Linked DNA regions of Danio rerio. The protein of the gene in region 1 interacts with the protein of each later gene in a biochemical or structural test. Links are inferred from orthologs where the notes say so. Each region holds a gene or a part of one and is shown in the gene's direction. Other genes may lie near its edges.

Region 1 (12,606 bases):
ATGTGACTTAGTCCATTCATTCATTCATTAGATATTTTTCATCAGCTTAGTCCCTTATTTATTAGGGAATATATATTTTACATTTGTTTTAAGCATGAACGTTTAATTTAGGTTAAATTAAGTTTAAACAATTTGTCAATGGGGTAACAAAAAAAACCTTGAAAAGGTAATATTGTTCTACAATAATATTTGCTGTAATAAATCTTTTTTAAACTGTTATTAAATTTGCCTGGTTTTAAGTGTTCCTAAATTTCAAAAAGGAATGCAGACATCATTGGATTGGTCTCCAAGAGTGTGTTACATGATAAAACGTATACATTTAACACAATATTAGATTAGATTCAGCTTTATTGTCATTACACATGTACAAGTACTAGGCAACGAAATTCCAGTTTAGGTCTAACCAGCAGTGCAATAGCAGCAAGTGCAGGAGACAGGTATACGTTATAAATCAGTTGTCATAAAAATAAATCAGTTGTCATAAAAATATCATCCACATGCATAAATGTAAAGAAATATGTAGTTTATTTGTTTATATTTTAACCATTTTAAAAAGAGCAGTGAAGTTAAATTTGTATCCTACTGACAAAACATTGACCAATAATAATATGACTGTGATGATTTTGTTATGCAGGACCTAAAGGAACTCGTTGAGAAGTTGGAAAAGAATGAGAAGAAGCTGAAGAAGCAGTTGAGGATCTATATGAAGAAAGTGCAAGAGCTGGAAGGTTAGATGTCTACCTTTGCTTTGTTTGTTTAACTTTTCCTTTAATACCAGATGCTGATTGGCTGTTTGTTTTTTTGCAGTGACTCAGGCCACTAAAAGCAGACCGGAGCTCACTCGTCAGTTCACTGTCCAGAGAAGAGAGAAGGACTTTGAAGGCATGCTGGAGTACTATAAAGAAGATGAGGCCTTGCTGGTCAAGACTTTAGTTACAGGTATGTGTGGTTGGATGCAGACAGGTTTTGAATGTAGAGGCTTAGAGTTGGCATAAATACCCAAGTGTTGTTTTTTTTAGACATGAAGCCCAACGCTGTGTCCGCCACTGTCCCCTGCCTCCCCGCATACATCCTCTTCATGTGCATCCGTCACGCCGACTACATCAATGATGACCAGAAAGTTCATTCACTACTGACCGCTACCATCAACGCCATCAAAAAAGTGCTGAAGGTATGAAGCACATCAGCTCACTTCCAGAATTCACAGCATACTTAGTTTAAGGGCTGTTCATACCAAGCACAATAACGAGAAATATATTTGTGTTCATACAGATTAACGTTAATGATCTGTTTATTTTTATATTATTCCTTTAATCTGGCATTATTCCTTGTAACCAGCAGGTGTCCTCATTGTGAAACTACTCTATCTGAACACTATTACTATAGACCGTTTCAATGTGGCCATGTTATTGGTCCATGAACATTTCCTGCTTGTAATCTAACTTTTTCATAAACGTAACAAGAGGCAATTCAATCATAACTTAATGTTAAAACAGTGATCATAACATTATTGATCAACGTGTCTCTTTTTGGATTCTCAGGGGCTATAGAAATTAAAAATTTGAAAACAAGATATATATTTGGACCATTGTTTTTTGTTTACATCTCTCAAAATGGGCTTTACTACTGTATACTTTAATTTATCAGCACGCCTTTCATAACTTCCATGTATTTTTAAATTATTATATTATGTATTATAGCCATTTGCTTCCATGATAGTCGTTATCTCTAAATAATCTTTTATTAAGGGATGTGCTGTTGGGGATGTTTTTATCCACTCTGGGGTGTTTTTGATTCTTAATTTGGCCATATTTTTTTCCTTGTTTCAGCTAGTGAAGTGATTTTGGTGACAAATCTTTTTTTGACACATATTTTGAGAAAATGCTTTGAAATTAAAAAAAAAAAACTCAACGATACACTCTTGCCACATTTACTACATTTTTTATATGTTTGCATAAATCTGTTAATCAACCTCAGTCTTGATCAAAACTGCTAAATTGTTTAGAAAATTACTGGATTTTAACTCTTTAATTGCTAAATTCGTAAATGATGTCACTGATTTGGTGGAAAAAAACACACAAAATGGCGTATTTTTAATATAAAAAGTTATGTGGACTGGATTTTTTTAACCGTTTATCAAAGTGCTGGACATGTAAAACAACGTTGTCTTTAATTCATTGTTTTTGATTGATTTACATTTTTTCTCCCTAGTTTACTGTTGGTGGCTGTTTTAGCCACATTGACTTTCATTACAACCACATTTATTGATTGTAAGGCCATGACATCATAAACATACGTTTGTGATTGTTGGTGGTTTTCTCTGTTGGGAAGAGGTAAAATTTGTAGTTTTTACTGTTGATCATCAGTTGACACCAATAACCCTTTAAATATGCCTGTGCAAAAAAAGCTTAGTGAGTGTGTGAGAGTGACCTTTGTGCACTTACCTTGATGTGTCTGAGAGAATCAAAATATGCATCTCAGCTCTCAGAACTACATGTAATAAATAAAACCAAGAAAAATAAATCCAGTCCACAATTACTTTTTTAATATTGAAAATATGTCATCTTGTGTTTTATTCACTAAATCAGTGATGTCATTTTTGAACACATAAATTTTAAAAACATTTAGTAGTGTTGATGAGGACTGAGGTTGACATTCATCAGCTGGGATAAATCATTCTGAAAGAGATCCCAATAATATTGCTCCTCTGTATCTATATGCTTGTAAATGTGGTGGTGGGAACTCTGCTATTCTTTAAAACTGTAAATGATCTTTATAATTATCGTGCTTGATGTGAACAGGGCATAAGAGTCATTAACAGGATAGTTCAACCAAAAATACTATTTACTCAGCGTTTACACTCCCTCAAGTGACTTTTTTTTATCTTGTAAACACAGATGAAGATGTTTTGAAGAATTTTGGAAACTGTGGAGGTCAATGGCCACTGCTTTCCAAAATTCTTCAATCTTCTTTTGTGTTCATGAGAAGAAACTCAAACAGGTTTGGAACGAAGTGGAGGAGTAAATGATTACAGAACTCTCATTTTTGGGTGTATTTCTCTTTATGAAAAGTTAGAATTTGTCAAGTATTTATTTAATTGATCAAAATTGACAGTGAAGACATTTTTTAAAAGTTATTTTTAAATAAATGTGATGAAATCTTACCAATCCTTAAACCTTTAAACAGTAGTTTGTAAGGCAATAATTATAGGTTATCAATCGTCTGTTTTTTTGACTGTCTAGAAAAACAACGATGACTTTGAGATGACCTCCTTTTGGCTGGCAAATGCAAGTCGACTTTTACACTGTCTGAAGCAGTACAGCGGCGATGAGGTGAGATTTTAGACTTTTTACATTGTTTTATTTATATATACTGTATATCTGATTATTTAATTTTGTGAATAGTAACTCAAGCTCCTTTTACCCAATTTTATTTGGTCATTTTGCAAATAAATAAGCTCAAGTGATGCTTAAAAAGTTGGCTTTTAAAGACCATATTAACCCAGTTTTAATCTTTGTGTAAAGTTTTTTTTATATTTTTCTTAATCTACATTCTGGTGACAGTTACACTGTTTCCACCTCCTGGTATTAACATTCAATTTAACATTTCTATGTTATTGTGCAAGTATTAACAGGAGGTTGATTGAGACCGTTTCTATATGTATTTAGCAGATTGAAAGTAAACTACGGCAGCTGTAATAACACAAATAACAGATTAGATTACAAATAACAGCAAAGTAGTTGTTTTTCTTGATAATATGTTACAAACCAGCTTCAGATGTCAGCAATTCTGTTGCTGTCTTTTCCTATCATGAGATAAATACATCTCATGTATTTATCCTTTCCTTTTCTGACTGTAAATGTCTGGTCGCTGGAATCATGTGGACAAACACAGTAGGGTACCAAGCCCTATTTGTTAAAAGTTGATATACATGAATCTGAATTATAGAGTGTCCTATGTGTATCACCCATGGCTTTCCGATCTTTGTTTATTTTTTTAATAAACAGTGTGAGATGTCATGTGATGTTGTTCATCTGAGGTGTTATCTTTCAAATTTTAAGACCTACCAAGCAGTTTTTTTTAATGTCTTGAAACTAAAAAACCTGAAATTCAATAGGGTGTCTTTTTACACGACTGTAGTTACTTAAAATAAGCCAATAGTCCACAGGGGAGCATCAAAAATAAAGTGTAACCAGTGCTCGGTATGATTTGCCTGTCTAATTCTGTCCTAGGCGTTCATGACCCAGAACTCTGCCAAGCAGAACGAGCACTGCCTGAAGAACTTTGACCTGGCGGAGTACCGACAGGTTCTGAGTGACCTCTCCATCCAAATCTATCAGCAGCTTGTGAAAGTTGCCGAGGCCAACATGCAGCCCATGATCGGTAGGTGCAGAGAGACACCAAACCAAAGAAGATTGATCATTAGCACAGTACATTTTTTCATAATGAGTGTGTTTTGTAGTGTCTGCCATGCTTGAGAGCGAGAGCATCCCCAGCCTGGCCGGAGTGAAGCCCATGGGTTACAGGAACCGCTCCTCTAGTGTGGACTGTGAGAGTGGAGGTCCCGCAGGATACACGCTTCAGGCACTGATCAAACAGCTGGCTCAGTTTTACTCTACCATGGCGGACCACGGCCTGGACCCTGAGATCAGCCAGCAGGTGCTTCGCCAGCTCTTCTACTCCATCAACGCAGTGACCCTCAACAACCTGCTGCTGCGCAAGGACGTCTGCTCCTGGAGCACCGGCATGCAGCTCAGGTACACATTTTTAATGCTTTTAGGCTAATTAATATTTTTCTCAGCAGTCATCATAGTTAGGTAAACTTAAAGAGCAGTGAATGGGTTTAATTACAGCCACAAAGTCAATAAGGGCTTTAAAATGTGCATTTGTATTAAATGTTTGATGTAATCTTAATCAAAATATAAAGAGAGGGTGGGGCAAATAGTAGCATGATTAGCATGATAGTAGCATAAGCTCTTTTTTTAAAAACAGCCAATAGCATTTCGTTTTCATTACAGCTCTGCCTTAAATAAGAAGCGCTTTGAAGGTGGTAGTGGGGGTGGCGGGGGCATGTTAGATACTAGAGCACATTTGATTGGTCAAGATTTGGTAAGAATCATTGAAAAAAAACGTTGATCCATTTAGACGGAACTGCAAACTGCAAGCTTTGGGTGTTTACGTCAGGTTTATATCATCTAAACATGAAATTCGTCAATGCTTTGGAGAGCACTAGACATTTAACACTAACATACTGATACTAACACCTGAAAAACATTATTTGCCAATGGTGCCAATAGCCTAGTGGTTTTTGCAGCAACATGTTGCACTGAGGTACTCATGGCAACCCAAGTTCAAATCCCGGCTCGAGATCCTTTGCTAATCCTTCAAGTCTCTTTCTGCTCCCAATGCTTTCCTGTCTAAAATCTCCACTGTCCTATCCTAATAATGGTGAAAAGCCCCTAAAAAGTAATAAAAAAAAGAAAGATATTTTGCATGTTACCTTGGTGAAAACCCTATGTAAAGCATCATTTGTTTGTGTTTATCTTTTTCTTTGATCATACTCTGGAGTTTAAACAGGTCTTGGTAAATTGGGTCTTGTAGATGGTTTGTGATGTGTTTTTTTTAGTCCTGGGCAAAAATTGATTCATCTCATCTAAACTAAAAGTTTGTTTTGACATTTGAATTTAAGTGTGTGTATATTTATTATGCATGTTCTGTGTAAAAACACATGCCTGCATAAATCTCACAAATTGTTTATTTATATTTAGATTTAGTATATACAAATAGGTTCATAAATATTTGGACTTCGACACAATTCTAACATTTTTGTGTTACAAGATGTGCTTTAACTGCAGACTTTTTACATCTAAATCAGGTGAAAGCTGTAGGAATTACAACCGTTTGTATATGTGCCTCCTACTTGTTAAGGGTCCAAACGTAACTGGACAATTGGCTTCCAAGTTGTTCAATGGCCAGGTGTGTGTTATACCCTCATTATGTCAATTACAATGAGCAGATAAAAGGTCCAGAATTCATTTCAAGTGTGCTATTTGTATTTGGAATCTGTTACTGTCAACTCTTAAGATGAGTTCCAATGAGCTGTCATTATCTGTCAAGCAAGCCATCAATAGGCTGAAAAGAAAAACACCAGAGAGATAGCAGAAACATCAGGTGTGGCCAAACAACTGTTTGGAACATTCTTAAAAAGAAAAAAATGTCCCAGTGAGCTCAGCAACACCAAAAGACACGGAAGACCACAGAAAACTGCTGTGGTGGATGACCAAAAAATTCTTTCCCTGGTAAAGAAAACACTCTTCACAACCGTTGGCCAGTTTAAGAACACTCTCCAGCATGTAGGTGTATTTCTGTCAGAGTCAACAATCAAGAGAAGGCTTTACCAGAGTGAATACTGAGGGTTCACCACAAGATGTAAACCACTGGTGAGTCTCAAAAACAGGAAGGCCAGATTAGAGCTCTAAAAAAGCCTTCACAGCACTAGAACAATATTTTATGGACAGATGAGACCAAGATCAACTTGTACCAGAGTGAAGGGAAGAGAAGAGTATGGAGAAGGAAAGGAATGGCTCATGATCCTACACAGTGAAGCATGGTGGTAGTAGTGACATGGCTTGGGCATGTGTGGCTGTCAAAAGAACTGGTTGTCTTGTATTTTATTGATGATGTGTCTGCTGACAAAAGCAGCAGGATGAAATCTGAAGTGTTTCAGGCAATATTTTCTGCTCATATTAAGCCAAATGCTTTAGAACTCATTGGATAGTGCAGATGGAAAATGACCCAAATAAAACTGCTAAAGCAACCAAAGAGTTTTTGAAGTGAAAGAAGTGGAATGTTATGCAATGGCCAAGTCAATAACCTGACCTGAATCCGATTGAGCATGCGTTTAACTTGCTGAAGACAAAACTGAAGGGAAAATGCCCCAAGAACAAACAGGAACTGAAGACAGTGGTTGTAGAGGCCTGGCAGAGCAACACCAGTAATGAAACCCAGTGTTTGATTTTAAGTTTGATTTATGATTATTATTCTGTCTAATTACTTTTGGTCCCTTAACAAGTGGGAGGCACATATGCAAACTTTTTGATCTCAAATACCCTCAAATTAAAGCTGACAGTCTGTGGTTAAAGCACATCTTGTTTCATTTCAAATCTATTGTGTTGGTGTATAGAGCTAAAAATGTTAGAATTGTGTCGATGTCTAGTTCTTTTTTGTTTGTTAATTCTTGCTTCTTTCTAATTTTGTTGCATTCTTTGCATAGGTAAAATATGTCAAATGTGAAACCTTTTTGCAATCTTTGACTTCAAGAAAACATAATTGACTAAAAAAAGTAATGTCAGATGAATGTAACGTGTGGTTTCAGGTACAACATCAGTCAGCTGGAGGAGTGGCTAAGAGGGAAGAACCTGCACCAGTGTGGAGCTGTGGCCACTATGGAGCCGGTCATTCAGGCCGCGCAGCTGCTGCAGGTGAAGAAGAAGACATCACAGGACGCTGAAGCCATCTGCTCGCTCTGCACTGCACTCAGTTTACAGCAGGTACACATTTAGCTTTCATTTTTTTCCTTTCTATTTGTTTTGTTTTGTTTTTACTTTTATTAACTCAATTTTGCTCTATCTCAGATTGTGAAGATTCTGAACTTGTACACACCACTCAATGAGTTTGAGGAGCGAGTCACTGTTTCCTTCATAAGAGACATACAGGTAAAATGAAGCACACATACATACATGCACTTATAAATCAAAACATTTAAGCATTCCATATTAAAAACAATGAAATTTTGAGGTCACAGCACAAGTTACAGAACATACACCTGCTTGAAAAGTATAATGCTGCGTCCCAATTTGCATACTATCCGCCCTAAATAGTATTCGAAATTAGAATTAGTATGTCTGAAACCATAGTATGTTGAAAAAAGCATGCCAAAGATTCCCGGAGTGTCTACTATTTCTAGTAAAAATGCGAAATGTAGAACTGTCCATAGTCTCACCCAGACCTGGCCATTTTACGGCCAGTGAAGTATTTATTTAATTTAAATTCAACTGCAAAAAGGGCCTTTCAATGCACAGGTCTGATATTGCGAGTGAACAAAAAGGGACTTTAACATATAGCATCTTTTGCCCTCTCAGTTTCATTATTTTAAATGGAGACATGCCTGTTCAGCGCGCAAATACTGTAGGAAGAGATACACATGTGGTATGTCACGCTCACGTTTTCCAGGCGACACGGGTTGAAAAAAAATCTAAACATTTCAGTGCAGCAAGCGAACCACAAGTCATGTGAAAGGAACCAACCAGGCAACTTCACACTTTGTATAGAATTACACAGTAATAAAAGTAGACTAATTACCTCAGATTAATGGTTTAACAAATGCAGATACAGATCCTCTCTCAGTGATGATCATTACAGCACATATCCACCTCACATTGGCCTGAATTCAGTGCGCTTGTTCAGCCCAACTCAGGCTAGAATTCTCTAAGTTAATATAAAAATTAAGGATAAATAAATAAAATGTACCTAAGGTGAAGCAATCAAATTATGAAGGGAAAGAAGTAGAATGTTATGCAGTGGTCAAGTCAATCACCTGATCCGAATTCGATTGAGCCTGCATTTCACAAAACTGAAGGGAAAATGCCCCAAGAGCAAACAGGAACTGAAGACAGTTGAGTAGAGGCCTGGCAGAGCACCACCAGCAATGTAAATACCCACCGACATGGAACTTTCGCCTGTGTTATGGTACCTTGTTGCAATTTTAGTTTCCCTAACGGGATAATAAAGCAGAGTCTGAGTCACTGTGGTGTTGATGTGAGAGTGACGTACTGCATGTGTATCTCTTCCTATTTGCGCGCTGAACAGGCGCATCTCCATTTGAAATAACGAAACTGAGAGCGCAAAAGGCATAGCTAAAGTCCCCTCGTGTTAACTCGCATTGTCAGATCAGAATGAATATTAACTGAAGTAAAGCAATCAATCAAACAACCCCGTGGCATTTATATGAAGTCAGTATTGTGATGCTGCTCTTTAAAATACTTTTTATTTAAAATTGATTCTTTTTTAAACGAGAGTTTTTATGAATGTTAATTGAATAGTTTCACAGAATGTTTTTATTTTTTGAAAACAAATACCTGTATTGGTCTAGCTTTCTATACCCCCCAGAGTCTAATGTGGACCCTGGAAAAATTAGTTGCACACCCCTGCTCTAACCACTAATATTGCCCCAATACAGTGTGCATTAAATTTGATTAGTACTACAAACTTGGGTAAAAAGTGTAAACAAGCTACAAACATGGACGCACAAGACCAACTGTTAAGTAAAGGGGCTTTGGTTAAGAAGTTTTAATGACTATGAGTTAATTTCTAGCCAACTTTAAAAAAATGAAATCACGTTTTCCATGTTATAGTTCATCTGCAACACCAATATGAACTTCTATAAAAAAAATTAACATATTTATCCAAAGAACTAAGGAGATTTTCTGCATGAAAAACTTGCGAATGTTAGATTAACCTGCTTCTGCATCTTCAATAAGGTAGATCATTAAATATGAAAGAAATGATTGACAGGGGACCTACTGTAACTAACTAAGCAACAAGACATCCATTAATGAAGAAGTAATATGTCCCAAAACTTGCATACTCTTCAGTTACACACTCAAACGTATGTACATTTTCTTCACAGAACAACTACATACTTTAAAGACGTAGTATAAGCATGTGAATAGAGACTAGAGTATGAATATTTTCTGATGCCTTCTCGGTGCGATTATCTGATGAATACGCTCACTGTCCTTCACAGAATCGCCTCCAAGATCGAATAGAAAACAACCAACTGCTGGCGGACACGAAATACACCTTCCCCGTGCTCTTCCCGTACACTCCTTCCAACCTCAGCCTGGAAACCATCCACATCCCAGCCTCCCTCAGCCTGGACTTCCTGACGCGGGTCTGACATCTCCGTCTCTCTGTCTAACACTGAGCTCCGGCACAATCAAACCTGCAGAAACCAGAGCTGGCCGGACGCAGATCTGCTAATATAACCCACATACTAACACCACCAATTCGACCTGTGGGTACTTTAACCAGATGAACCGTCTTCTCCCTGACCGACTAACTGTGGTGTTGAAGTCTGATGAACTATGCGGTGTAAATAAGCTGTCTGCCTTTTCACTCACTCCCTGAACAAAGTGAAAACGCTGTATTTTGGATGGGGATGCGTTTGACTAATACTTATGATTAAATGGAAATGAAAATACGAGGGTTTTTGGGCTACTGACACTAAACACTAATACCAGAGTGTGTGTTCGTCATGTATCTGTGTTAGTATGCACTGATTTCTGTGTGTTTGTAATGGAAAAGTGTATTTTATTTTTCTTTGCTTGTGCTGGAGTTTCATCTCAGAAAACATGGACTCCTACTGAAGCAGCGCCGCCATCTTGTTTTTTATTTTCTAGGAGAACTTTTAAAATGGGCTCCAGAGATTCATTTCCACAGAAGACGCTGGAAATCTCTGCATTGCAATGGCTGTTTCCACTGTGACCAATCTGGATTTGCTCTGAACATGGTGTTTTCATGTTTTTCCCATGTGTTGAAGAATCTGATGCAGAGACTCGGGGCCCTGAAACACAGAGCCAAAGGGATAGGGCAGATAGTGAAAGTGTCATTGAAAAGCGGAAGTATGTGAAGCAGAGAGACTCAGGACGTCGAGAGGAGTTTGAGCTGGGATATTTAATATGCTGTGGAAATCAATAATGGTGGGATTGTCGTCTGTCGGTGGAATCTAGAATGTGCTGCAACCACAATTTTTAAAAGATATCTAATAGACGTCTAATAGACATCTTAACAAAGTCGTCTTGGCTAAAACAAGGATAAATTTGCGCTGTTATACACCTCTAAGAATAGGCCAAAACTAGACTAGTCATCAAATAAACAGAAATGAATGACTGCACATATAAAGTCTGTCTAATCTGTCAACTTGACAACAATAGTTTTGGGCTATTCTTAGATGTCTCTTAGATTTTCACTGACGGCCCAAGTTTAGCCTTGTTTAGCCAAGCTGTCTACATTTAGATGTCTACACTGCAAAAAATGCTTTTCTTGCTTAGATTTTTTGTCTTGTTTCTAGTCTAAATATCTAAAATTTCTTATATCAGGAAGCATTTTTTAGACAAGCAAAACATATTGCCTTGATTTGAGAAATAATATGCCAATATTAAGTCAGTTTTTCCTTAAAACAAGCAAAATAATCTGCCAATGGGGTAAGGAAAATAATCTTGTTTTTTCTTTTGATGTAAGATTATTTTGCTTACCCCATTGGCAGATTATTTTGCTTGTTTTAAGGAAAAACTGACTTAATATTGGCATAATATTTCTCAAAACAAGGCAATATGTTTTGCTTGTTTAGAAAATTCTTCTTGATTTAGGAACTTTTAGATATTTGGACTAGAAACAAGACAAAAAATCTAAGTAAGAAAAGCATTTTTTGCAGTGTATTAGACGTCTATTAAACACAAATTGTTTGCTGGGCAGGTTGTGATGTAGAAATGTATTTCAGGAGGTGTCGTTTAAACTGGCATAAGTACAATAAAAGGCATTCTCAAAACTAGCAGGTTGCGATTTCACGAAAGCAATTATCTCGATTTACTTTACACTGTTGCACAGCTCTGTGAACGATCATGTGCAGTCGATAGCAATAACTACGCACTTTTTCTTTGACTTTTATGAAAAGTACATTTTTATATAATCTCTACGATGTTTTCCCTCGTACGTTGCCAACTGAATGAGCTGTTCTGCAAGAATAGTGCATTGTGTCGATTCAGGAAACTTCATTTGTTTCAAAGTGATCATCTTTTAGTTTTAGCTTTCAACATTTAGGCTCTACAGAAGTCAAATTCTCCTCGCTCTGAAGAGATTCTGAGTTATCTCCATGCCAATAAAGAATTGTCAAATAGTTCTTTCAGTGTCAATAAAGAACTGTCAATTTTCTGTGTTGTAGTCTTGCATTATTTCAGAGGTGGGGGGTTTTTAAAAAAAAATCTGACTATTAAAACAAAAGTAACCAATTTTATTTTTACAATGTCTCTCTCTGTGTGAAAGTGTGTGTGCTTATGGTGAGTCTGTGCATACATTTTATACTTGTTAGGCACAACTGTCCTTTATGTAGTGCATTAGGGTGTTCAGAGTAAACAATCAGAAACTTCATAATCCACCAGGGTTGTACCATAAAATGTTTCTACCAGAAAAATCATTATAAATTTATTCATGCTTCATTTCTGTAAATACAATGCTGAGAGCTTTACCTAAAAACCCAGTCTAAAAAAAGCATAGTGTTGTCCATGCTCTTGATACAATTAGTGTAAGAAATTAATTAGCGGTACAATTCATGTGTAAGAGAGCATTATTTATAAATCGAAAATGTACTACTGATTATGGTTTTGAATTGTGAATTACACCTTGCCTTGCTTTCTGTTCAGTAACAGTAAAGCTTTTCAGACAGTGTTTCATGCATAATCATGTCTTTATTTTATTTACTATTTTAAGTGTGTAAAACATTGTCGTTTTTATATTGAAATGCATTACAATAGGAAGGCATATGCAGAA
Region 2 (14,028 bases), on another chromosome or scaffold:
TCCTACTTCCATACTTTTTTTTAAATGAACAGGTTGAGTGAATAATTCAGTAACTTATCTGAACATGTCTACTTTCATATTCAACCATTTATTCATTTTTTTTTTTTGGCTCAGCCCCTTTAATTGATCTGGGGTTGCCACAACGGAATAAATCGGTAACTCAAGCATATGTTTTATGCAGTGAACGCCCTCATTCACACTAATTCACTACAGACAATTTAGTTTACCCAATTCATCTATACCGCATGTCTTTGGACTGTGGGCAAACCGGAGCATCCGGAGGAAACCCATACGAACACAGGGAGAACATGCAAACTCCACACAGAAATACCAACTGACCCCAGCCGGGGCTCAGCGACATTCTTGCTGTGAGAAGATCATGCTACTCATACAATACACAATGTAAAAAAGAATATGACAAAAAGTCATGACAACAAATGAGTGTACGTTACTTTAAATTATTATTATTTTTTTTTTTTTGTTACACATACAGTTCTAAATTTTTTTGTTTGTTTGATTCACGTTGAGATTGAGAGATGGCTAAAAAGTTAAGATGATTCGAAAAAAAAACTAATTGTAGGCATTTTTAGTGTAAGAAAAAGCAAGTTGTGAGCTGAGTTTGAGTAAATGATTCAAATACTTTGTCACTTCTTTAACTTTAGAATGAACCTGCTTGTTTGAATGAATAGGTTAAAGGTGCAGTTGGTGATCTGTCTAAATGCTAACCGGTTAGCATAATATCTTTCAAATACATTCACCTGCCGTCCAAAGCAACACTTCTTAAAATCGCGAACGCGTACATTAAAGATGCCGGAGACTCACTAGATCATGTCATTTGCCAGTTAGCAAACTTTATAGTTCTTTATAATACTACAGTTCTGAATGAAATACTGTATTATATCTAGCATGATTTCAGTTGTGTAGTTAGCAAGCAAAACTTGACGTAATGTGCAATATTTTATGCACTTTCTCCTAAAGCGACTACTGTATGCTCAGTGGTTGGCCAGCAGGGTGCAGGAATTATACTTATAACGTTATTTTTATTAATGAATTATACTTATAATCGAATATTCAAAGTAGTATGGTAAGCAATAAAGAGGCCGTGTCATCATTGTTCAAAAATGAACCGATGTGAATATAAAACCTCAGCTCAGTAAAGCAGGCTAGGTGGAATATCGCAATTTACTTACTTTTGTTGTGAAACTAAATAAAAAATGACATTATTGATGCTGTAAAAGTTTGCGTAAGAAATTGAAATTGAAGTTTTAAGTGGCTTAACATTTTCATCCTTCCTGCAGCGTGCAAAAGTAACTCCAATATTAATTCAGGATTTTAAAAAGTTTTAATTCAACATTTGTTTTTACCGCTTTCACTCGTGTCCACGGCGCATGAACACACATCGGCAGATTTGCATGAACGGGTGCGCAGTTGTACAAATCTACATTTGCTGACAGTTAGTTTAGGCTTCTTATCAGAATTATGGGAATTATCGGCTTGACAATTTTTAATTGGATGAACATTTTTTAGTCTTATGCCTTACCAAGAATATAAAAATACATATAAATAAATTTTGATCATTTAATTTAAACATTATTATTGGAATAACAAAAACAACATAATAATACATAACATAACAACAACAACAAAAAAAAAATAATAACTGCACCTTTAAGTGGATAATTCCGTTACTTGCTTTAAAACACTCTGCAGTCCATTTGTATAGTTTCTAGTATATCAGTATACTTAGTTACTATACATAGCCATGTTTGATTAAATTATTCAGTGAGTAATTCAGTTTTTTGCATTTCTTAATGAATTTCATGCAAACACACTCTGTATCTGAATAGGGCTAATTCCATACTAGTGTTAGCCTGAGCAGTGTGTCCAGATTTATGTGTGAAACCAAATGTACATATACAGTAGTAAACAACTTTTAAAAAAGCCACAGGAATCTCTTCTTTAGTTCCTTGATGAATTAGCATTTCTCTTTTAAGGGTTAATAAATAAAGAGTGACTGAAAACATCTCCACAGGAAATACACAGATATTCTCTCAGTGATGTATAAAATAATCAAATGAGTGATACAAACAAGAAACGGCTATACACATGGACAATAAACATGGCTCCTTTTGACTGTGAAAGCACCTTCAAGTATTGCATGCAAGACGAGACAATCTTCCGCTCTGATTCCTCAGCTGCTTCCTGGTGTTTGCAATGAGGCTTAACTGGAAATGGCACAGGCAAGGGCCTCTCCTCAGTTTAAGCTGTCTTAAATGCATTTTATATGACCTAATATTTCACCACACCAGGCCCATTTTCATCCTGAGATACACTGCAGATAAGAGTTATAATCTATGTGTGACGAATGTGCCAGACTCATGCCTCTGACTCTGGTATGTACACAACACTCTGCGGTTATGGCAGGATGATGGGGATAAGGAGACAGAAAATGAATAAAATGAAAGAGCAGGTGTGTTTGGTTAGGTTCTACCTGTCAAGTGGGTGACACACACACACACACACACACACACACACACACACACACACACACACACACACACACACACACACACACACACACACACACACACACGTCTGTATTTAAATGTATCCCTTATCAGTACTTCAATGTCTCCACTCAAGAACATTGGCAGGCATTATGTTAACATGTTTGGTCTGTTTAGTTTTGTTAAGAGACCCCAACAGACATGTATTGACTTTACTGTCTACAAGAGTAGACATTGTATGAATCTCAGATAGGCTGAGGATGGGACAGAAGAAATATTCAGAGGTAATTCTTATCATTTGATTTTTTTTCTAATCTTTGATAATGCTAATAACTGGAAATCCGGTTTTCAAGCTTAATCAAATGCAACATAAATGTTCTCTGTAAGTTAGATAAAAAAATGATTATCTTTCGGTTTACAGACAGTGTCCACTACAACTTCATTTAGATTTACTTAAGAGTACATCAAAAAATCTTTTTAGGCATAAAATCATTTCATGACATTAAAAGAGTTATTTTAAGTCAGAGATGCCCAAAGTAGGGCCCGCAAGCCGAATATGGTGCATTGTAACTTTTGATTTGGCCCATCGTCCCATCTGAGAAGAGAGTGAGACTGATGAAGAGGTTTGGGGTGAATGCCTTTAAATGAGATGGTAATTTTTAATTTGACAGTACCATTTTCTTGTTTGTTTGTTTTATTTCTGAGCTACCAAAAAATGTTTTGATTATTTGTTGTACATGTATTAGATTTTTTATTATGTAATTAATTTCACTTGATAAATAGAGGAATATGCAGAAGACATCGGTGAGCAAATCAAGGCAAAAACTAGTGTAACTCCATTCTGTTATACACAAGATTGATTTTGTTTTTACTTTAATAAGTTCATTATAAAATGTAAAACATGCGGTATTAGTTATAGTTAATAAAGAGCAAAGTTTTCTAGTTATTTTAAAATATTATAAAATAAATTAGGAAGTTACCTAAAGCAACTAATATTGACCTTCGGCCCACTATCCTCAATCAAGTTTGGCTTTTCATCCCTTTATAAGGAAAAAGTTTGAGCTCCCCCGTTTTAAGTAGTTTTAACATTATAATGATGGAAAATTTCATCCATATTTTGCCATTTAGTTGTTACTAAAGTAATTTGGAAAATAATTAAAGTCTGCAGTTAGTTGATCAAAAACACAATAAATTAATTGTAATATTGTATTTTTTTTTTCTTTTTTTTCTTTCCTGGGGTGACACGGTGGCTCAGTGTTTAGCACTGTCACCTCATGACAAGAAGGTCGCTGGTTCGAGTCCCGGCTGTCCAGTTGTCGATTTTGTGTGGAGTTTGCATGTTCTCCCCATGTTCGTGTGAGATTCCTCCTGCTGCTCCAGTTTCCCCCACAGTCTAAAGCCACACGCTATAGGTGGATTGAATAAACTAAATTGGCTGTAGTGTATTAGTGTATCTGAGTGTGTATGGGTGTTTCTCAGTACTGGGTTGCAGGGCATCCGCTGTTTAAAACATATGCTGGATAAGTCAGCGGTTCATTTCGCTGTGGTGACCCCTGATGAATAAAGGGACCAAGCCGAAGGAAAATTATTGAATGAATGAAATTTTTTTTTTAATTAAGATAAATTGTCATTTTAGAATAAATGTAATTAATTCATGTGATTCAGAGATGAATATCAACACCCCAATGTCACATTATTATAATTTCTCAAAATATTTTAATAATCAAGGGCACATTAAATAAATCAAAATTGCCATTAAACCTATATACTGTAATGTTTCAAAATATTGTATATGAAATTATCACTGTTATTTTAAACATTGTATTTATAAAAGTACCATGAAAAACATAAAATGGAACATTTAAAAGAAAATGTTCCAACATAATGATACTTCAGTGTTTTCGTTTTGTTATATTTTGGAGTAGCCTAAATGCAGACTTGGTGAGCAGAAGAGAGCTCAAAACATAAAATAATAATAATAATAATAATAATATATATATATATATATATATATATATATATATATATATATATATATATATATATATATATATATATATATATATATATATATATATATATATATATATATATATACATATTAATAAAAATATAAAGGACCATTTTAGTATTTTCAATTTTCCTAAACATTTGACTGGCAATATTATACAATGCATTACAACATTTGTCCTTTTTTAAATTCTTGACCTGGTTGAAAGCAAAAGCAAAAGCGCACTGCTGAAAATAATGCTCCTCAGCCCAGTCACCGGAATCCCGGGAACAGCGCTGATCAAATCCATGGCAACAGAGGAGGAGTCTACACTTCGACCCATGACCGCATCGGCGGAAATGAGGAAGCAGGAAGTCGAGAGCAGGGCTGATGTGGAATACCACACATTTGTTTAAGATGAATTAGTGTCGATTAGAGTAAGTTATTAATTTACATTTACCGCAGATGTGGAGAACTGAAAGGGTTTCACTGTAGCGCTCTTCACACGTGCTGTGGTGTCGCTCGCTGTGCTCGAGAAAGATGCTTCACAGGTAAATATCAGAGCATTGTGCTGAATGGGTGTTTGACAGCACCACTGAGACTGGGCAATGCAGCTAGCCGAGCATCACTGGTGCTTTTCTATCATATCCGATCAATTAAATAAGAGGAGACCGCATGGAGGGAACCATGAAGAAGATGATGATGATGATGATCATCATCTTCATGTGGTGGTAAAAAAAAAATCCTTAGTATAAAAGTGACATAAAAGTAAATAAATTATGTAGCTGTTATAATTTGCCAGTTCTTTAAATGTTATATTACAGACACTAAAAAAACTTGCACTACTAAGCTACGTTACTAATAGTTGTTTACAGATGGCTGTCACACATTTAGCGTTATTTTTCTGAAATTATGTATTTTTTACTTAATATTTTTACTATATGCTATATATGTTTTACTAGTATATACTTCTGTGTGTATACTGTATGTGGCAACATAATTTAAGTCTATTTGATTTTTACAAATTTATGTGCACACTGTGGGGAAATAAATTTTATTTGATTTATTAATTGCTATATAGTCTCAGATTTACGTATGTTGTGTTGCCTATTATGTCTCACTTGTTTGTTAGAAGTACTCTGCTTTTTCTTATGTTATTCTTGTGTTTTATTTATTTGTTTACTTGTCAGGGGTTTTATTAATTTGGGGGCCCTAAGCAATTTCAGCCCAACATTCCTAAAATGCATTAAATGAAATTACATATTTTCAGCTACTGAAAATTCAATACATCTCCAACATGAGCACACTTTAGATTCTCGTTGTATAGGGCTGAGCGATATGTCAATATTGCAATCTCAAATATTTTTCATATTGACTAATAACGATATATATTTTGATATAAGTTGTTAATGCTTCCTGTTTTAAAGAGTATCCCAACAATGACTGAAGCCACAAAGATTAGACGCTTCATTAAATTATATTTTAAAGTATTATTAATTAACAAAAACAGTTGACACATTATGCAATTTTTTTTGGAGATTCCAATGTTGTATAATATACTTATGATATACAATGTGAAATATAATATTTTGAAGAACTGTCGTTGACATAGAGTACACAAACAAAGATACTTATTGCATTTTCTAAAAATGAACAATTACAGATTTTTTTTTTTTTTAAATAAATGTTTTACTTAATTGAAATTGTAAAAATATACATCATTAAAATAAGCAACAGTTTAAGAGCTAATACTGCTAGTGGGAAAGTTAATCAAGCTCGATAAACAATACTGAGTGAGGTTGCATTTCCCTAATATCAACACAATTACAGATTCCTGTTGTTGCATATGTGTGCTGTAGGCATGAGCCGGTATAAGATTCTGATGGTATGATAACCTTGGATATATCAGGGTATCATGGTGTTGTGCTCACTGCTCTAAAATTTATTCTTTTTAACTGTCTGGGTAAAAAAAAAAAAAAAAAAAAAAAAAAAAACTAGAACTTTTTTCTCCTTTTGAACACAATATATACTTTTGTTTTAAAAATGTTTCAGAGCAGTAAACTGTCAGGGTAAATAATTTAAATGAATCATTGACTTCTGCTGTCTTCATTAGTTTCAAAAACACAGATTTCTTTACAATTTAAAACAGCAAAATTTAATGGACATTTTTAACTGCTGGAGAAACTGTTGTCCTAAAAAACAAAACAAAAAATGTAAAGTAAAAATCTTACACATACCTAAGAATGGTAATACAAAAAATGTTGCCAGTTTTAAAACCTTGACTTTTTCAAACCGCAGTATACCTTGAAAATGATTATCATCCCATGCCTAGCTGTGTGACTGGCTCTTTGCATTGATCAATATTGAGTAAAAATTTCCAGAGCTTATTATTGTTATTGACATACATTTTATCATGATTAGATATGATATTGTTTATTGCCTGAGCTCTATTGTTGCACATTTCTGCTGTGTGATTGGCTCTTAGGTCGATATAGAGTAAAAAAACCCCCAGAGATTATCATTGTTATTGACATAAATTCTATCTTAATTCAATATAATATCATTGTACTTTTATTTATTTTCTGTTGATTTATTTTGGTGTTTTTTTGTCTCTCTCTTTCTGTTTTACCTTAATGCAATCTCTACATTGTAAATGGTTTACTTAACATGAATCCAATACTAATTGTACAATATAGTTGTAGAAATATAAATAAAGTAATATTTATTTTATCATGAATTAACATTATATTGAAAAATATAAGTCAAATGCACTATTGTTTTTTTCACACTGTTTTCTGTCTTTTGTCTTTGTTTATAGGTGACCTAAGTTGAAGCGGGGTGAATGTGGAGTGTTTGCGGAGTGTAACAAAATCATTACCTGCTCCATTAATAGATGTGACTGTAATGCTAAATATGCTCTTCACTTGCCCTTGAACAACTTTCGTTTGTATTACCTCTCAGTCGCTCATTTCTTGTTGATTGGAAGCTAAAGGAAAAATGGAAAGGCCAAACTAAAGTTCTACACTTCATCACTTCACACCAAAGTCCATAATTTTACACTTGAATTCATCATGTCATTGGGCGAACAGTCGCAAAAGTGGTTTCCAACCCATGTCCAAGCCACTGTTCTCCAAGCCACAGACCTGCAACCAAAGGGCAAGAATGGAACCAATGATGCCTACACAATCATCCAGCTGGGCAAAGAAAAATACTCCACATCGGTGGCAGAGAAGACCCTGAACCCAGCGTGGAGGGAAGAGGCTTCATTTGAGCTTCCAGGGCTGCTAATGGAGAGCAATCCAGAGGTTTATGAGCTCTGCCTCACAGTCATGCACAGGTCCTTAGTGGGACTGGACAAATTTCTGGGCCAAAAACTCATTAACTTAAATGAGATATTCGACAACAAGGAGCGGCGAAAAACTGAGTAAGTAGTTTAATTTTTCATTATATCCATTTCCTTTAATAGTCTACAGACAAAAGTCTTGTAGAAACACCCAACTGTAACATACCTTTAAATAAGCAGAAGTATAGCTTAAAAGAGGAATATGATACTCCATGTCTGTGTTGGTTTTTGGTACATTTCATGGTAACAGTGAAGTAAGTGACGTTTTTATGGTATTATAGGGCAGGGCGATTAATCGAAGGTCATTTTCATGCAAATTTAGATTTAAACCTCCAGCACATGCTTTTAGATGGAGCAGCATTTAATACAGAGCCGTATAACACTGACAGCGTATAATAACATTCAAAGCTAAAATCAATTTAGGTGGATGATAATGACACTGACATCATTATAATCGTTCTGTGAAAATGACGTCTGCTTTTGTGTTATAAATACTAATAATACCGTAATAATTTATGTTTTTACTCCAAACCTGCTACATAACAGCGATCATCAGTCGAGTGTTTGAAATAAATCCTTCTGTGAGATGATTCCGTAGTCGTGTGGTTTATAAGGCAGCATCAAAGACTAAAATCAGTATTAGACTGATTCAAAGCAGTTTAGTTTTCTATTAACAGTGCAATGCTATGTGGATTTCCTGGGTTTATGAGTTTTTTTTATATTTGCTACTGATCACACAACCATGGAGAAGATGTACACATAAGCTGTAAAAGATATGAACATAGTATTCGTGACGTCAACCATAGGTTTTTGAAGAAAGCAAAAGAAGCTACAAGTAGGCGTGGCCAACCATTGCCTTTTTGTTTGTGCGTCATCGCACCGACCAGGGGATACCAAACAATGGCAACGAGGCGGAGCATGAGCGGACCATCTTAAATAAAGCAAATACATTTATAGAGATGGTATACAAGTATATAATGGAGGCTTTGTGAGCACAATTTAGTGCACACAGCATGCCATATCATCTGATAATTGTAAGAAATAATTCCAAAATGCAAATGACTGTGTAAAGCTACATAAAACAAAACAAAACAAAAATATGATGTATATGACGAGTTCAGATGCTAATCAGCTGGAATCAGCTAAGGTGACCAGCGAGACCTAGTTGTCACTCAAGTGGCCCCGCCCTTAATTTTGCAGACTTCACTTAATATAATTTAATATGAACAAAAAGAATGAGCTTTAAAAAAATTACCCCCTCACAGTTGTCATGAAGGGTGATATTAGCTATATGAACCAAAATCTTTCTTTGTACCAGGCTGTAAACACCTTTTTTTTCTGCTGTAAATTTGGCCATTTTAACATTGGGCTCAATAGAAATCTGCTCTTTTGTGGCTCCACAATAGTGGAATAAACTAGCAGGATTTCGATGAATTGCAGTTTCTGTTACTTCCGTATTTGCTTCACGAGGGACAGGGGGAGGTTGCCACTTGAATGTACATGACAATCTAAATTGCATATGCAATTTCATTATGATTAATCGGCCAGCCCTGTGATAGCAGTTATTACTTTATCTACACAATTCATAAAATTGTTGTAAAATCACAGTTCTTACTGATAGTTTTGGATTGTCTGTATCTCTCTTGTTAGATTTTGCTGATTACCTTTATGAGAACAGACCTCAAAGTCTCACTCTGATATCTACAGAGACCTTAGTAGGTAATGCGTGTCAGCACATTGAAGCCAGGTCAGTCAATAATACTCCAGTAATAGCAGAATAAATGGCTTTGAAGTGACTTTGCTATTTTTAGCTCTTGTAACACTCAGTGATGCAGTTTTCTTTTAACATTCAGATAATGTTTTACCTAGTCCTCTGACGTAATCTCTGATCTTTGTTTTTGACTCTCATTGTTGTCATTGAGTTTTAAGTTATGAACATGCTATTGCTGTGCATTACTATAACAGTCTTATGCAGGTTGCTTTTATTCTTGTGTGAGATAAAGGCTCCATTTAACTTCAGTTTGAGTCACAGTCCCATGGTGGATGAACTGGTCTAGTGAGGATGACGATTATCATGCATGCTATTACTTTCCTCTTTGCTATTTAGGGCCTGATGACTAACTGTTGGGTTTTTTAATCCATGTGACTGACTTCCTTGTTTTGTTAGATGTGATATACAGTAGGCTGTCAAAACCTATGTATATAGGGTGTTTCATAAGTCTTAATATTTAATATTTCTCTTTTTTGGCATGCATGTACAGACTAGCAGTGTTTTATTAGAGTATTAGGACAGAAACTTGTATGGCTGGTTGAAGTAGAAAAGGCAGTGCCGGTGTCTAACAGAACTCATCTTAGTGGAACAAAAGCATTAACTATGTGAGGTAGCATGAATGTATTGAATGAGCCTCTAATACAAGTATTGTGAACAGAAAAAAATCCTTATATGAGTTTATTAAATATGATATATTCAAGTAAAATCATAAAAGCAAAAGAGGTGTTACACTGTATCGTCTGTGCACAAGCGCAATCACAATTTAGATTTAGATTTTTTATACAGTAGTTTAAAGAACAATACATTAGGGCTGAGTGATTAATCGAAAATTCGGTTTCGATTTTGATTTTGGCTACTAACGATTATGAAAAACCAATAATGGAGATAAACGATTATTGCATCAAATACTGCCCTTTTCCAGTTGTACACATTTGTTGCTCTGCAAAGCTCAGTTTCACATAAAAAATGACTAAAAGCATGTACTGTAATGTAATTTTGCAGCACGAGATGCGCATTGTTCATTGATGAACATTGGAATTCATGTTTTTAAAAGCGCAAATGAGACTGCATGCTGCTGTGTGTGTGTACATGCTGTCAGCATTTGGTCTCATTCGCAAACTGTGCACTTGGCGTCAGAGATGAGCAGAGCACACACATCTAAAGTCATCTTAATGTGCGCTTTAATGGTCAAATTTTAGTTTAGTTTATTTGTTTACAGGGTCAATGCACATTAATAAACATTACTGTAAAATGTGCCACAATTAGCCAAGAATGGCTATTTTTTATCTGTAGACTCCTTACAGAATGTTAAAAAGTCACACCTAAAATAGAAGCACAGCATAATAGGTGTCAAAACACGGTCTTTAGTGATTTTTTTTTTTTTTTTTTGAACTTGAGAACCATAGGACTTGCGAAAACCTGAGGGACTATATAACAGACCTAATCCAGGTAGAAACACTGTTTTTTAAATGATCGTTATAAAAAAAATCCAAGATTTATTTGTTGTCTTAATTGTTCAGTTAATCATGTAAGTTCATGTAAATGTTCTTTTTTATGATTATTTATTTATTGCAGAACAAAGCCAGCATACATAGCTAGCAACAACTTTATACAAGCCAGGGTTTGCATTAAATGAAAATACATAAAGAAATTACAAAAAATAATAATAGTAAAATAAAGACAATAAAATAATAAATGAATAACAATACACAGAAAAAGAAAAGCTCTGGGGTGAGAATTAACTAGTTAACTATTTAATTAACTAAAAATTTTCTCAATAAAATCGGACCATGCTTTGTTTGTATGGGGTTTAGCTCTGTTAATTCTTGCAGTGGAACGTTCTAACAGTGCAATATTTTTTTAGTTCAATAAGCCACATTTTATCCGCTGGGAATGAGGGTTCATGCCATATTTTAAATATAACTTTCTTGGCTGCAGTTAGTGCAGTATGAAATATCCTGCGTTGGGAAGTGTTTAGGTTTAGATCATAATCATCATTCAATAAACAGATATTAGGGTATTTGGGAACATGTAAATGTTAATGCAATTGTTCAATTACCTTTCTCATAATGCGCAATACATTGATCCATATCACTAATTAACATATTATAACAGACTTAACATTGTGGAGATATTAAAATAACATTTATTAAAATATCTGTATGTTCAAGTTTTTATTTAGTATTTGGTGTTGCAAGCTAAAGCAAAGGTTTTATCATTGGCAGTTGAATAAGATGCAGCATCTTAGGTAATAAGTGAAAAATCATACTTGTCTAAAAAAATAGTTCTTTTACACAAATTTAACCAACAAAAACAATTGGTACCCCAAAACACATTATTGAAGTTATTGGGGTTGTGCTCTCTGTTTTTTTTCTGCCTCACCCAACTCACACATGGCTCTGTATGGATCACAGCAAACGTCGAGCTGGAAAAGATGGTGTGGATGAAGTGCAGTGAAGTTTTTCAATTTACTTCTGTTTCCAGCACATGTAACAGCCATTTAAATTAAATGTTTTCGGGAGAGAGTGAATAATAACAAGGGAAACAAACACTAGATGTTTTTTGGTGCTATAATAAAACAACCTTAAGAAACAAAAAAGTGAAGATGCATTTGATGACCGCTTTACTGTAAAATTAATGCATCCGTACACCTCTCATTTCCTAATCATTGTCTATGTTTCACAGTCAATGCAAGGTATTATTTGGTCAGTAATCCTGTGATTTCACACCCTTGAGGGGAAGTTATGTGCTGTATGCTGACTTTGCCGTTGACACTCATCACACAAATCACTGTACCATGCTTCTTGCATCCTCTGCAAGGACTCTCAGGGTTAGCAGTCCCTCTTGACTCTGTTCATGCAAGGGTTTCCTGCAACTGACGCAAGGGTACAAGAGTCCGTTTCGACATTGGAGTCGACAGGCCCTAATTATCGCACACCTGTGTTTGTTGATTGTACGCTGGTTCCCAGCGGCCCTCGCAGAGTGGGAGTATTGTGGTTCCAGGCAGTGGAAGATTTATCTTGGCCTTGACTCCCATGTGAAGAACAGGGTCTGGCTGGCTCTCCACATGCCCAGATCAGAGCTCCCTCACTGGGCCTGAGACCAGGTAAACCCTCTTGCCTCGGATCTACAAGCTCCCCAGTGTGTGGATGGTCTTGGAAAGAAACATAATCACCATTCACTAGCTGTGCCATGATGGAAGAAGAGCACTCAGCAAGATGGCAGCCTGTGAAGACCCCAGAGGGAACCGTGTACCGATACTGAAGCAGTGTTTACAGTAGTGTTTGCATGGAGGAACTGTGTTTCGGTCGGAAGTGTTGAGCTGCATTTCTGCATGGCTGGTTCATGAGCATACACAGTGTCTTTATAATCAGTGATGAGGTCAAGGAAAGACTCAGGAAATGTTTTTCATTTTTAAAAATGAATCAGGATTTATTGGAATGCACTATTAAAAACAAGCATTGTTTTTTTAGCACTAATGGTTCTGTGACATTTTTTAAGAGGAAAAAGGTTTTTAGACCATTTAAATAATCAGCAAATGAAGAACAAAATGTTTCTTTTAGGAACTGTTCACTAAAAGCTTCTTTAAGAAAACTAAAACAGTTCTTTTATGGCACCTTTATGTCTAAGAATCTAGTTTTAAGGATTTTAGTGCTGTGCTGCCAGTATTAAAATTCTACAATACATCAAAACAAACTCCACAAAATACTTAAAGAAATGAAACCCTACAAGTGTATTTAGACTTCACACCATTATAGAGTACAGGGTGGGAAAAAAATTATTAGCAGGGATGTGACAAAATCTCAAATGTCGAGATCTCGTGAGATTAAATCGGTGAAAAGTTGTCTCGTGAGTTGTGCTGATATGATGGAGCGTGAGGGTTAAATTAGCATTGAAGATTGGAAGCAGGATTGGATTTGAACCATAAATCAGGTTCTTTGGACACACCTGGCAACCCAGGCTGTCGTAACTGCTTTTGTCACAGGAGTTCAGCGGCTGCCACGTCCAACAGAGGCTACAACTGCAGCCATACACATTAGGGTTCATATCCATGCAATGAAATAGCACTTCAGATATGCTTAAAGTCATGATCCTCGTAAACACAAATGGAAATAAGACGTGGAGTATTCCTATTTTAGTCGCATTACTGAAGTACAGAGTACAGACATTTAAACACCTGAATCAAACTATTAACACACACACACACACACACACACACACACACCTACACATTGCTGGAGAAACATGTTTATGCTGTTCTTTTTTTTTTCTTTTTTTTTTGTCTTTTTCATTCGGCGTATGGAATCAAATACATAAAAACAACTCTTTGCTATCAGTCCTTACTTCAAATTACAGTTGTTTTTAAGTTCAATTTGTGGAAAGGAGTTCAATTTCTCATGTGAAACTGTACAGGAGA

The links.
Region 2: the proteins of myo5b (region 1) and rab11fip2 form a complex in vitro, tested with the Homo sapiens proteins (2 studies listed by BioGRID). The link is inferred for Danio rerio from reciprocal best matches to the Homo sapiens genes MYO5B and RAB11FIP2.

The regions. Positions count from the first base shown.
Region 1 is NC_133196.1:23,906,349-23,918,954, reverse strand, and holds the end of myo5b (unconventional myosin-Vb), read left to right. Parts: intron 1-634; coding exon 635-728; intron 729-807; coding exon 808-939; intron 940-1,019; coding exon 1,020-1,171; intron 1,172-3,242; coding exon 3,243-3,332; intron 3,333-4,232; coding exon 4,233-4,383; intron 4,384-4,462; coding exon 4,463-4,757; intron 4,758-7,375; coding exon 7,376-7,550; intron 7,551-7,634; coding exon 7,635-7,715; intron 7,716-9,805; coding exon 9,806-9,958; downstream 9,959-12,606. UniProt on the Homo sapiens protein: May be involved in vesicular trafficking via its association with the CART complex. The CART complex is necessary for efficient transferrin receptor recycling but not for EGFR degradation.
Region 2 is NC_133188.1:22,749,949-22,763,976, reverse strand, and holds the start of rab11fip2 (rab11 family-interacting protein 2), read left to right. Parts: upstream 1-4,852; 5' UTR 4,853-5,048; intron 5,049-7,315; 5' UTR 7,316-7,568; coding exon 7,569-7,921; intron 7,922-14,028. UniProt on the Homo sapiens protein: A Rab11 effector binding preferentially phosphatidylinositol 3,4,5-trisphosphate (PtdInsP3) and phosphatidic acid (PA) and acting in the regulation of the transport of vesicles from the endosomal recycling compartment (ERC) to the plasma membrane.